3 linked regions of the Anolis sagrei genome follow. The protein of the gene in region 3 interacts with the protein of the main gene of each other region in a pairwise test. Links are inferred from orthologs where the notes say so. Each region holds a gene or a part of one and is shown on either strand. Other genes may lie near its edges.

Region 1 (3,760 bases), on a different chromosome or scaffold from region 3:
CCATATATGGGTATATTTATGTGCACATAAATACTATATATATATATATATATATATATATATATACACACACACACAATTAAATGCAATTAATAAATATATATGTGCACACTCACATACACATTGGCATTTTCCCACTATAAATGTGTGGGTGGGTGCATATATGGGTGTATTTATGTGCACATATATACTATACACACACACACATATTGTATGTTGTGTATGTATATATATATATATATATGCAGTTAATAAATAATTTGTGGGTGGGTGCATATATGTGTGTATTTATGTGCACATAAATACTATATATATATATATATATACACACACACACACACACACAATTAAATGCAATTAATAAATATATATGTGCACATTCACGTACACATTGGCATTTTCCCACTATAAATGTGTGGGTGGGTGCATATATGTGTGTATTTATGTGCACAGATATACTATATATATATATATATATATATATATATACACATACACACACTCACTTACATATTGTAATATATATATGCAGTTAATAAATATATGTGTGTGCATACTCACATACACACTGGCATTTTCCCACTATATATGAATGGGTGGGTGATATATGTGTGTGTATTTATGTGCACATATATACTATATATGTGTGTGTGTGTGTGTGTGTATAAATGCAGTTAATAAATATATATGTGCACATTCACATACACATTGGCATTTTCCTTCTATAAATGTGTGGGTGGGTGATATATGTGTGTGTATTTATGTGCACATATATAATATATGTGTGTATGTGTATAAATGCAGTTAATAAATATATATGTGCACATTCACATACACATAGGCATTTCCCACTATATATGTGTGGGTGAGTGATATATGTGTGTGTATTTATGTGCACATATATACTATATGTGTGTGTATAAATGCAGTTAATAAATATATATGTGCACATTCACATAGGCATTTTCCCACTATATATGTGTGGTGATATATGTGTGTGTATTTATGTGCACATATATACTATATGTGTGTGTGTGTGTATAAATGCAGTTAATAAATATATATGTGCACATTCACATACACATTGGCATTTTCCCTCTATAAATGTGTGGGTGGGTGATATATGTGTGTATTTATGTGCACATATATACAATACACACACACACACACACACACACACACACACACATTTGTACACATGAATAGGAAATGGAGCTTGGTGGAAGAGGCAATGCAAAAATCAGAATGCCTAAAAGAGAGGAGGAAGGAAAAGAGAGGGCCTGCATTTCCAATTTCCAATCTGCAGGCCCACAACAACAACAACAACAACACAATTCAATCCAGACACACTGAGCTCTCCCCTTTGGGTCTTACCTGCTCTTCTTCTGGGCTCAATTCTGCAGCCATTTCTCAAGCAAAGGAAGTGGAAGTTTCCCAAACACTTTGACCCCAAAGTCTTTTTTTTTGTGTTGCTTTTTTTTGTGTTGAGTTTTCTTCCCACTTTTTGCAAAAGGAAAAAGCCAAAAAACCAACTAAAACAAAACTGGGTCCCTTTAAATCTTGAATTTTGGGGGGTGGGAACACCCCAAGTTGGACCTTCTTCCAGTTCTTCTTGGATTTAGCATTGCATATATAAAAAAAATTACAAATAAATATTCTATTGATATAGTTTCCAAAGCAGAAAAAAATAATATTATTTTGCAAAGTATTAATATTAATTATTTGTTGTTAAAGAGTTATTGCACCCAGCTTTTGCTCCTGCAATCAAGGAAAATATAAAATTTGTCAAATGCATGCTGCAAATGGAGAAAATTGCTGAAAATATGTGGGGCAGGGCCCCAAAACAGTGGGGAAAGGGGTGCAAAATACCTCCAATTTCCCCTTTGGGGGCCCAAAAAAAAGTGGGGAGGGCAGAGAGTGTAGTCCAAGGCTGGATCCAGGCGATCATAACCTTCCAGTGGTTTTCCTCCCAGGCGGTGCTTTTCCTCTGCCCCCAATCCCCTTGCAACCCATGGCTCCCCTTTTTTTTTGCAAATTCCTGCAAAGCAGGGCGACGCCAGGCCCGGGCATTAAGCCACGCCCACTCCGCAAGCCCAAGCCACGCCCCTTCCTCCTGCCTGGGCTCCATTCACAAGTGGGAGGGAGGCTCATTCAGGAAGGGAAAGGAAGGAAGGAGGGAGGAGAGAGAGAGAGAAGGAAGGAGGGAGAGGCAGGAAGAAGGGAGGGAGGGAGAGGGGGACAGGAAGGAGGAGAAGGAGGGAGGGAGGGAATGAGAGAGGAAGGGGGAAAGGAGGAGGAGAGAAAGAGAAGGAGAGAAGGAAGGAAGGAATAAAGGGTGGGAGAGGGAAAGAAGGAGAGGAAGGAAGGGGGAAAGAAGGAGAGGAAGAGGAGAAAAAGGGGATGAGGAGAGAGGGAAGGGAAAGAGTGGAAGAGAAAATGGGAAAGGAGGGAGGAGAGAAAGAGAAAAGAGGAAGGAATACAGACTAGGGGAAGGAAAGAAGGAGAGAAAGGAAGGGGCAAAGAAGGAGAGGAAAAGGAGAAGAAGGGGAGGAGGAGAGAGGGAAGGGAAAGAGTGGAAGACAGAATGAGAAAGGGAGGAGAGAAAGAAAGAGGGAGAGACAGGAAGAAGAGAGAGGAGGGAAGGAGAGAGAGAAAGAGGGGGACAGGAAGGAGGAGAAGGAGGGAGGGAGGGAATGAGAAAGGAAGGAAGGAAGGAAGGAAGGGGGAAAGGAGGAGGAGAGAGGGAAAAGGAAGGAAGAAATACAGACTGGGGGAGGGAAAGAAGGAGTGAAAGGAAGGGGAAAAGAAGGAGAGGAAGAGGGGGACAAGAAGGAGGGAGGGAATGAGAGAGGAAGGAAGGAAGGGGGAAAGGAAGGAGAGAAGGAAGAGGAAGGAAGGAATACAGACTGGGGGAAGGAAAGAAGGAGAGAAAGGAAGGGGCAAAGAAGGAGAGAAAGAGGAGAGGAGGAGAGAGGGAAGGGGAGGGAAAGAGTGGAAGAGAATGAGAAAGGAGGAGAGAAAGAAAGGGAGAGACAGGAAGAAGAGAGGGAGGAAAAGAAAGAAAGAGGGGACAAGAAGGAAGGAGGGAATGAGAGAGGAAGGAAGGAAGGGGGAAAGGAAGGAGAGAAGAGGAAGGAAGGAATACAGACAGGAAAGGAAGGGGCAAAGAAGGAGAGGAAGAAGAGTAGAAGGGGAGGAGAGAGGGAAGGAAGGGAAAGAGTGGAAGAGAGAATGAGAAAGGGAGGAGAGAAAGAAAGAAAGAGGGAGAGACAGGAAGACGAGAGGGAGGGAAAGAAAGAAAGGGGGATAGGAAAGAGGAGAAGGAGGGAGGGAGAGAATGAGAGGAAAGGAAGGGGGAAAGGAGGAGGAGAGAAAGAGAAGGAAGGAATAAAGGGTGGGAGAGGGAAAGGAGGAGAGAAAGGAAGGGACAAAGAAGGAGAGGAAGAGGAGAAAAAGGGGAGAAGCAGACAGGGAAGGGAAAGAGTGGAAGAGAATGAGAAAGGAGAGAAAGAAAGGAAGAGGGAAGAGGAAAGAAGGAATACAGGCTGGGGGAATGAAAGGGGGAGAGAAAGGAAGGGGCAAAGGAGGAGAGAAAAAGGAGAAAAAGAGGAGGAGAGAGGGAAGGGAAAGAGTGGAAGAGAGAATGAAAGGGAAAGAGGAGGGAGGAATGGGAAAAGAAGGAGTGAAAGGGGAAGAAAAAAGGGAAAAGGAGAGAGGGAAGAAGAAGGAAGGAATAAAGGGTGGGGGAGGGATAGAAGGA
Region 2 (3,760 bases), on a different chromosome or scaffold from region 3:
AATGGAGGACCTTCTTATAGTAACACCAGAGACACTCCAAGTGGCCAGTTACTGGTATTTTATTTATTTATCGTGTCAGTATCAACCAGATAATTGTGTTGCTGCAAGAAGGTCCTCCATTGTGCATGTGGCGTGGCCCAAGTTGCGTTGCAGCAGGTGGTCTGTGGTTTGCTCTTCTCCACACTCGCATGTCGTGGATTCCACTTTGTTGCCCCATTTCTTAAGGTTGGCTCTGCATCTCGTGGTGCCAGAACGCAGTCTGTTCAGCGCCTTCCAAGTCGCCTAGTTTTCTATGCGCTCAGCAGGCCCGTAGCCAGGATTTGGATTCGGGGGGGGGGGGCTGAGTTTGTTTCGGGGGGGGGCTGAATTCGAGTGAAAGAGAGTCTACCCTAGCAAAACTTTTGTATCGTTACCCCAATACCCCCATGCATATGGGATATATTGAGTATGGTGATCAGATCATGATATGAATAAACGTAACAGTTTAAATAATGCACCGGTAAGGCCTTTTCACGAACCACCAAGAGAATTTCGGGGGGGGGGGGGGCTGAAGCCCCCCAAGCCCCCTCGCCCCCCGCTACATGCTTGCCGCTCCGGGGGGAGTCTCTCATTTGATATCAGCCATTGATTGAGGTTCTGGGGTTTGAGCCTGCCACTTTTGGACTCTCGCTTGCTGAGGTGTTCCAGCGAGTGTCTCTGTAGATCTTAGAAAACGATTTCTTGATTTAAGTTGTTGACGTGCTGGCTGATACCCAAACAACAGATGAGCTGGAGATGTCTCTGCCTTGGTCCTTTCACTATTGGCTGCTACTTCCCGGCGTATGTCAGGTGGTGCAATACCAGCTAAACAGTGTAATTTCTCCAGGGGTGTAGGGCACAGACTGGTCAAAAGACATTTAATCAACTACCAAGCTTGCAAACTTTGTGTTTTGTCTGTTTGTTAAAAAATGCAATACAACTGGTTTTGGGGGGGGGGGGGGGGTTGCTCCTGACACGATAAATAAATATTATATAGCTTAAGCGGCTGAGGGAGGAAAAGGAAGGGATCTGAGGCTGTTAGGAATGGTGAGAGTTGGAAGTCCAAAACACCTGGAAGGAAGGCCCAGGCCTGGTGTAGCTGCACCCTCAGTACCACCAAAGAGGAGCAAGATACGGGCCTAACAGTGAGGAGAAACCGAGGAGCCACTCCTTCCTGAGAAAAAGGAGGCAGAAGAAGGGCCCCGAAGCTCCCTCAACGTCCACACACCTCAAGTCTCCTTAGAGGGCTCCAACACCATCACCACCACCACTTCCTCCTCCACGATTCAAAATGGCGGCCGGGCGAAAGAAGTAACCCAACAGGCAAGTGAAAGGAAACGCGCCTCGAGCTACGTCACAAGCCGAGTGACAGTTGGGCCGTCTGCGCCCGCGCCGCTTGGCCCCGCCCCCTCACCACCCACACACAAATCCTCCCAGAAGCCACCGCGCATTGAACAGCGACGAGAGGAGGGAGTGAGGAAAAGAAACCAACCAGGGACTACATTTCCCAGCAATCCCTCCGAGTGGGAGGGGGAGGGAGCGAGCGCGGAAAGGGCTTGGCGGAGAGTGGTCTAGCCTGCCGATAGCGCGAGCTCGGCGAGTAAGATGGCGACGGAGGGAGCAGTTCTTCTCTGAGGAGGAAGAAGAGGAAGGAAAGGAAAGGAAGGAAGGAGAATGGTTGGCTCCACAATCTCTCGCTGAGGGGGAAAGCTGCACTTGCCGGCAGTGGCCGAAAGGGGGCCGCGGAAGGAAGGGGCCTCGAAGAAGGAGAAGGAGAAGAAGGTGTCAGTCGGTCAGGTAGCGCCGCCTCTGCTTCGCTCGCTCTCGGCTCTTTGGCGGCGGCCAACGACGTCTCCATGTCGGACAACCAAAGCTGGAATTCCTCAGGCTCCGAGGAGGATCCCGAGACCGAGTCTGGGCCGCCTGTTGAACTCTGCGGAGTCCTCAGTAAGGTAAGAAGGAGGAGGAGGAGGAGAAGCGCCTGTTTTCCTTCCGCAACAGACTGAATGAGAGGTTTGTGGTGTGTCCCTCCGTCGAGGCGCCTCACCTGAGGAGAGGAAATGGAGGAAGGTCCTGCTGCGAAAGAGGGCGCGTCTACGCTGCAGATTTAATCCAGTTTGACACCACTTGAACTGCCATGTGATGGAATCAAGGGAGTTGTAGTATTATACGGCCTCTATCCCCTCCATACTGCGGATTAAGTCCACGCTGCAGATTTAATCCGGTTTGACACCATATGATGGAATCAAGGGAGTTGTAGTTTTAAAAGGCCTTTATCCCCCCCCCCCTCCGTACTGCAGATTAAGTCTAGCTTTAATCCAGTTCAACACCACTTGAACTGTCATGTAATGGAATCAAGGGAGTTGTAGTTTTATAAGGCCTTTATCCCCCCCCCCTGCAGATTAAGTCTAGATTTAATTCAGTTTGACACCACTTGAAATGCCATATGATGTAATCAAGGGAGTTGTAGTTTTACAAAGCCTTAACCCCCCCCCCCCCCCAATTGCAGATTAAGTCTAGATTTAATTCAGTTTGACACCACTTGAAATGCCAAATGATGTAATCAAGGGAGTTGTAGTTTTACAAAGCCTTAACCCCCCCCCCCCAATTGCAGATTAAGTCTAGATTTAATTCAGTTTGACACCACTTGAAATGCCAAATGATGGAATCAAGGGAGTTGTAGTTTGACAAGGCCTCTATCTCCCCCCTTGTACTGCAGATTAAGTCCAGATTTAATTCAGTTTGACACCACTTGAACTGCCATATGATAGAATCAAGGGAGTTGTAGTTTTACAAGATCTTTATTCCCCTCTCTTACTACATTAAGTCCAGATTTAATCCAGTTTGACACCACTTGAATTGCCATATGATGGGATCAAGGGAGTTGTAGTTTTACACGTCGTTAACCCCCCTTTTTTGTAAGAGACTGCTAGTGCCTCAACAAACTACAACTCCCACAATTTATTTATTTAGTTTTACAAGATTTTTATCCCCCCCCCCTTGTACTACAGATTAAGTCTAGATTTAATTCAGTTTGACACCACTTGAAATGCCACATGATGGAATCAAGGGAGTTGTAGTTTTACACGTCATTAACTACCCCCTTTTTTGTATGATAGTGCTAGTGCCTCAACAAACTACAACCCCCACAATTTATTTATTTATATCCCGTTTTATCTCTCCATACAGAGACTCAAAAACATTGCAACTAAAAATATACAATAATAAAACAATATATCATTATATATTATCAGTAGTAATTTATTTATTTATTATTTATTTATTTGGGGTTCTTTTACCCCGCCCTTCTCACCCCGAAGGGGACTCAGGACGGCTTACAAAAGCAAAGGCACAATTTGATGCCTGCATCATAAAGACAATCAAACACAGAATTACATCAATACACAGTTAACAACAAATATACATTATAACCATAAAATCAATAAAACCAAATACAAACCCAATTGCTCCTCTTACATGGTCAGCGTTCGCTACTCATAGATCTATTTTTACGTTCCACTTCATCAATCCTGCTGGTCTTACTCGCCTGGTTGTCTGATTTAGTTGCCGGAGTGGCCAAAGGCCTGGTCCCATAACCAAGTCTTCACCCTTCTCCTAAAGGCGAGGAGGGATGATGATACTTATATTTAGTATATTAGTATTACTATATTTCAATGTTATTATAATATACTATATTGTATTATGATTAGTATTGTATTGTGTTACATTATAATATTATCAA
Region 3 (3,760 bases):
GTTGGCAGAAGCTAGGGCTGACAGCAGAAGCTCACGCCGCTCCCCAGAATCGAACCTGCGACCTTTCGATCAACAAGCTCAGCAGCTCAGTGCTTTAACCCACTGTGCCAAAGGGGTTCCCTTATTATTATTAATTATTATTAATTATTAATTATAATTAATTAATTAATCCGCAATTGTTTTGTCTTAATCAGCATTCTCCAAATATTATCATTTTCTTATTTACTATTAATAATTATTTTCATATTAATTAATTATAATTAATTAAAAATAATTATTAATAGTAAATAAGAAAATGATAATATTTGGAGAATGCTGATTAAGACAAAACAATTGCGGATTAATTAATGAAGTAAACACTCCACAATTGTTTTGTCTTAATCGGCATTCTCCAAATATTATTATTTTATTTACTATTAATAATTATTTTAATATTATTAATTAATTAATTAATTAATATTAATGAATATTTAAAAATATTATTATTAATATTAAAAATAATTATTAATTAATAGTTAATAATTATTATTTTCTTATTTACCATTAATAATTATTTGAATATTAATTAATAATTAATTATTATTAATTAATATTAAAATAATTATTAATAGTAAATAAGAAAATAATAATAATTATTAACTATTAATTAATTATTATTATTATTTAATATTTTTAATATTAATATTAATTATTATTATTTAATATAATTTAATATTAATTAATAATAATAATAATAATTATTAATTAATATTAAAATAATTATTAATAGTAAATAAGAAAATAATAATATTTGGAGAATGCTGATGAAGACATTGCGGAGTGTTTATTTCTTTTCAACACATCAAAGGATTGATTTCAAAGATCCCATACATAACCCGTCCCATTCCCCCCTTTTTTCCCAGAATGGTTTATCCCTACTCCTCCTAGGAACGCGCAGGCGCAGACGTCACAAGCGCGGCCAGTCACGCGCGAGACTGGCCCAGGCTGAGGCGAGGTTTCACACCAGCCTCGCCCCAGCTTGTTCTGCGCACGCGCAAGGAGGGAGGGAGGGCAGGCAGGCGAGAGAAGCTCGAGGGAGTTCCCAAATGCTCGGCGAGAGGGCGCCTTGACACGCCTACCTCCGTTGTGCGCCTGCGCGACACGCCCGCTCGGTTCCCCCCTCCTCCCCTGATCGCGCTACTGCGCATGCTCAGTTCCATCCTTGCTCCTTTTCGTTTCTGTCAGTCGGCGCCTGTCCGTTGAGAGGAGCGGTCGCTCGGTTGACTCGAGGCTTCCTTTTTGTCCCCTCCCGCCCGGCGAAATGGCTGAGCCCGCGACCCAATCTCCGTATATCTCTTCCTCTGCCGGGAGCGGCTCCTCGGAACCGGGAGGCGGGCGAGACGCGAAAGGAGCCCACCAAGCCTGTGCGGGTAAGGGGAGCGGGGGGCGGGCGACCTGAGGAAAGGAACAGCCGGGGGGAGGGTGGCTGGAACAGCCTGCTGGTGGGCGCGAGGGAGGAGGAGGAGGAGGTGGGCGGGGCTTAACGGGAAACCCTCTTAAAGGCACACGACCCCCTTTGAAGCAGTCTCACCAAACACCTGGAGGAGAACATCCAAAAATGGCTTGTCAGTTGGGACAGAGCCAGGTATTGTATTGCTCTGCATTGATGCAGAAATTAATGGCAAATAGAGAGTGAAGAAGGGGAGCCAAGAAGATAGAACTCCCCCATGTCTCCCTTCCCCATGTGCTGTGCTAATAATACAATTTAATAATACAATAATAATACAATAATGCCAATAATACAATAACACAATTTCAATATATTGTATACATATTGAAATTAAAATGGAACACAGTATAATACCAATAATAAAATATAATTTTATATTTTATATTACATATAATATTACAGTATAGTGGTATAGTACAATATAGTGATGTATAATACTAATATTGTGCTGTGCTAATTATTTATTTATTTATTTATAATATAATATATATTGTATACACATATAATATTGATATTAAAATGTAACACAGTATAATACCAATAATGCAATTAATAATACAATATAATTGTATATTTCATATTACATGTAATATTACTAATAATACAGTATAGTGATATAATACAATCTAGTGATATATAATACTAATATTGTGCTGTGCTAATAATATAATATATATTGTATACACATATAATATTGATATTAAAATGTAACACAGTATAATACCAATAATACAATATAATTATATATTTCATATTGCATGTAATATTACTAATAATATTACATTATAGTTGTATAGTACAATATACTAATATTGTGCTGTGCTAATAATATAATATATTGTATACATATATAATATTGATATTAAAATGGAACACAATAATGCAATATAATTAGATATTTTATATTGCATGTAATATTACTAACAATATTACAGTATAGTGTTATAGTACAATATAGTGATATATAATACTAATTGTGCTGTGCTAATAATATATATATTGTATACACATATAATATTGATATTAAAATGTAACACAGTCTAATACCAATAATGCAATATAATTATATATTTATAATACTAATAATACAATATAATTATATATTTCATATTACATGTAATATTACTAATATTATAGTGTTATAGTACAATATAATGATATATAATACTAATATTGTGCTGTGCTAATAATATAATATATTGTATACACATATAATATTGATATTAAAATGTAACGCAGTATAATACTAATAATAATACAATAATACAATATAATTATATATTTTATATTACATGTAATATTACTAATAATAGTACAATATCATTGTATAGTACAGTATAGAGATATATTATACTAATATTGTACTGTATTAATAATATATATATTTGATACTCAGTGATATTAAAATGTAATGCAATATAATACCAATAATACAATATAATTATATATGTTATATTGCATGTAATATTACTAATAATATTACAGAATAATGTTATAGTACAATATAGCGATATATACTAATATTGTGCTGTGTTAATATAATATATTATTATGTTTTGTATCGATGTTGTATCGATAATTATATATTTATATTACTAATAATACAATATAATTATATATTTCATGTAATATTACTAATAATATTACAGAATAGTGTTATAGTACAGTATAGTGATATATAATACTAATATTGTGCTGTGCTAATAATATAATATATTGTATACTCATATAATATTGATATTAAAATGTAGCAGTATAATACCAATAATACAATATAATTATATATTTCATATTGCATATTACTAATAATATTACAGTATAGTTGTATAGTACAGTATACTAATATTGTGCTGTGCTAATAATATAGTATATTTTACACATATAATATTGATATCAAAATGTAACACAGTATAATACCAATAATACAATATAATTTTATATTTTATATTACATATAATATTACAGTATAGTGTTATAGAACAATATAGTGATATATAATACTAATATTGTGCTTTGCTAATATTATATATTGTATACACATATAATATTGATATTAAAATGTAACACAGTATAATACTAATATACAATATAATTATATATGTATAATACGAATAATGCAATATAATTATATTTTTCATATTACATGTAATATTACTAATAATATTACAGTATAGTGATATCATACAATCTAGTGATATGTAATACTAATATTGTGCTGTGCTGATAATATAATATATTGTATACACTTATAATATTGATATTAAAATGTAA

What was found.
Region 1: the proteins of RTN3 (region 3) and PTPN9 interact in binary tests that used the Homo sapiens proteins (3 or more experiments, as listed by UniProt). The two-hybrid records come from large-scale screens. The link is inferred for Anolis sagrei from reciprocal best matches to the Homo sapiens genes RTN3 and PTPN9.
Region 2: the proteins of RTN3 (region 3) and CERT1 interact in binary tests that used the Homo sapiens proteins (3 or more experiments, as listed by UniProt). The link is inferred for Anolis sagrei from reciprocal best matches to the Homo sapiens genes RTN3 and CERT1.

The regions. Positions count from the first base shown.
Region 1 is NC_090029.1:8,641,775-8,645,534, forward strand, and holds the start of PTPN9 (tyrosine-protein phosphatase non-receptor type 9), read right to left. Parts: upstream 2,190-3,760; 5' UTR 1,408-2,189; coding exon 1,375-1,407; intron 1-1,374. UniProt on the Homo sapiens protein: Protein-tyrosine phosphatase that could participate in the transfer of hydrophobic ligands or in functions of the Golgi apparatus.
Region 2 is NC_090022.1:263,954,730-263,958,489, reverse strand, and holds the start of CERT1 (ceramide transfer protein), read left to right. Parts: upstream 1-1,472; 5' UTR 1,473-1,874; coding exon 1,875-1,970; intron 1,971-3,760. UniProt on the Homo sapiens protein: Shelters ceramides and diacylglycerol lipids inside its START domain and mediates the intracellular trafficking of ceramides and diacylglycerol lipids in a non-vesicular manner.
Region 3 is NC_090032.1:17,096,246-17,100,005, reverse strand, and holds the start of RTN3 (reticulon-3), read left to right. Parts: upstream 1-1,170; 5' UTR 1,171-1,300; coding exon 1,301-1,409; intron 1,410-3,760. UniProt on the Homo sapiens protein: May be involved in membrane trafficking in the early secretory pathway. Inhibits BACE1 activity and amyloid precursor protein processing. May induce caspase-8 cascade and apoptosis.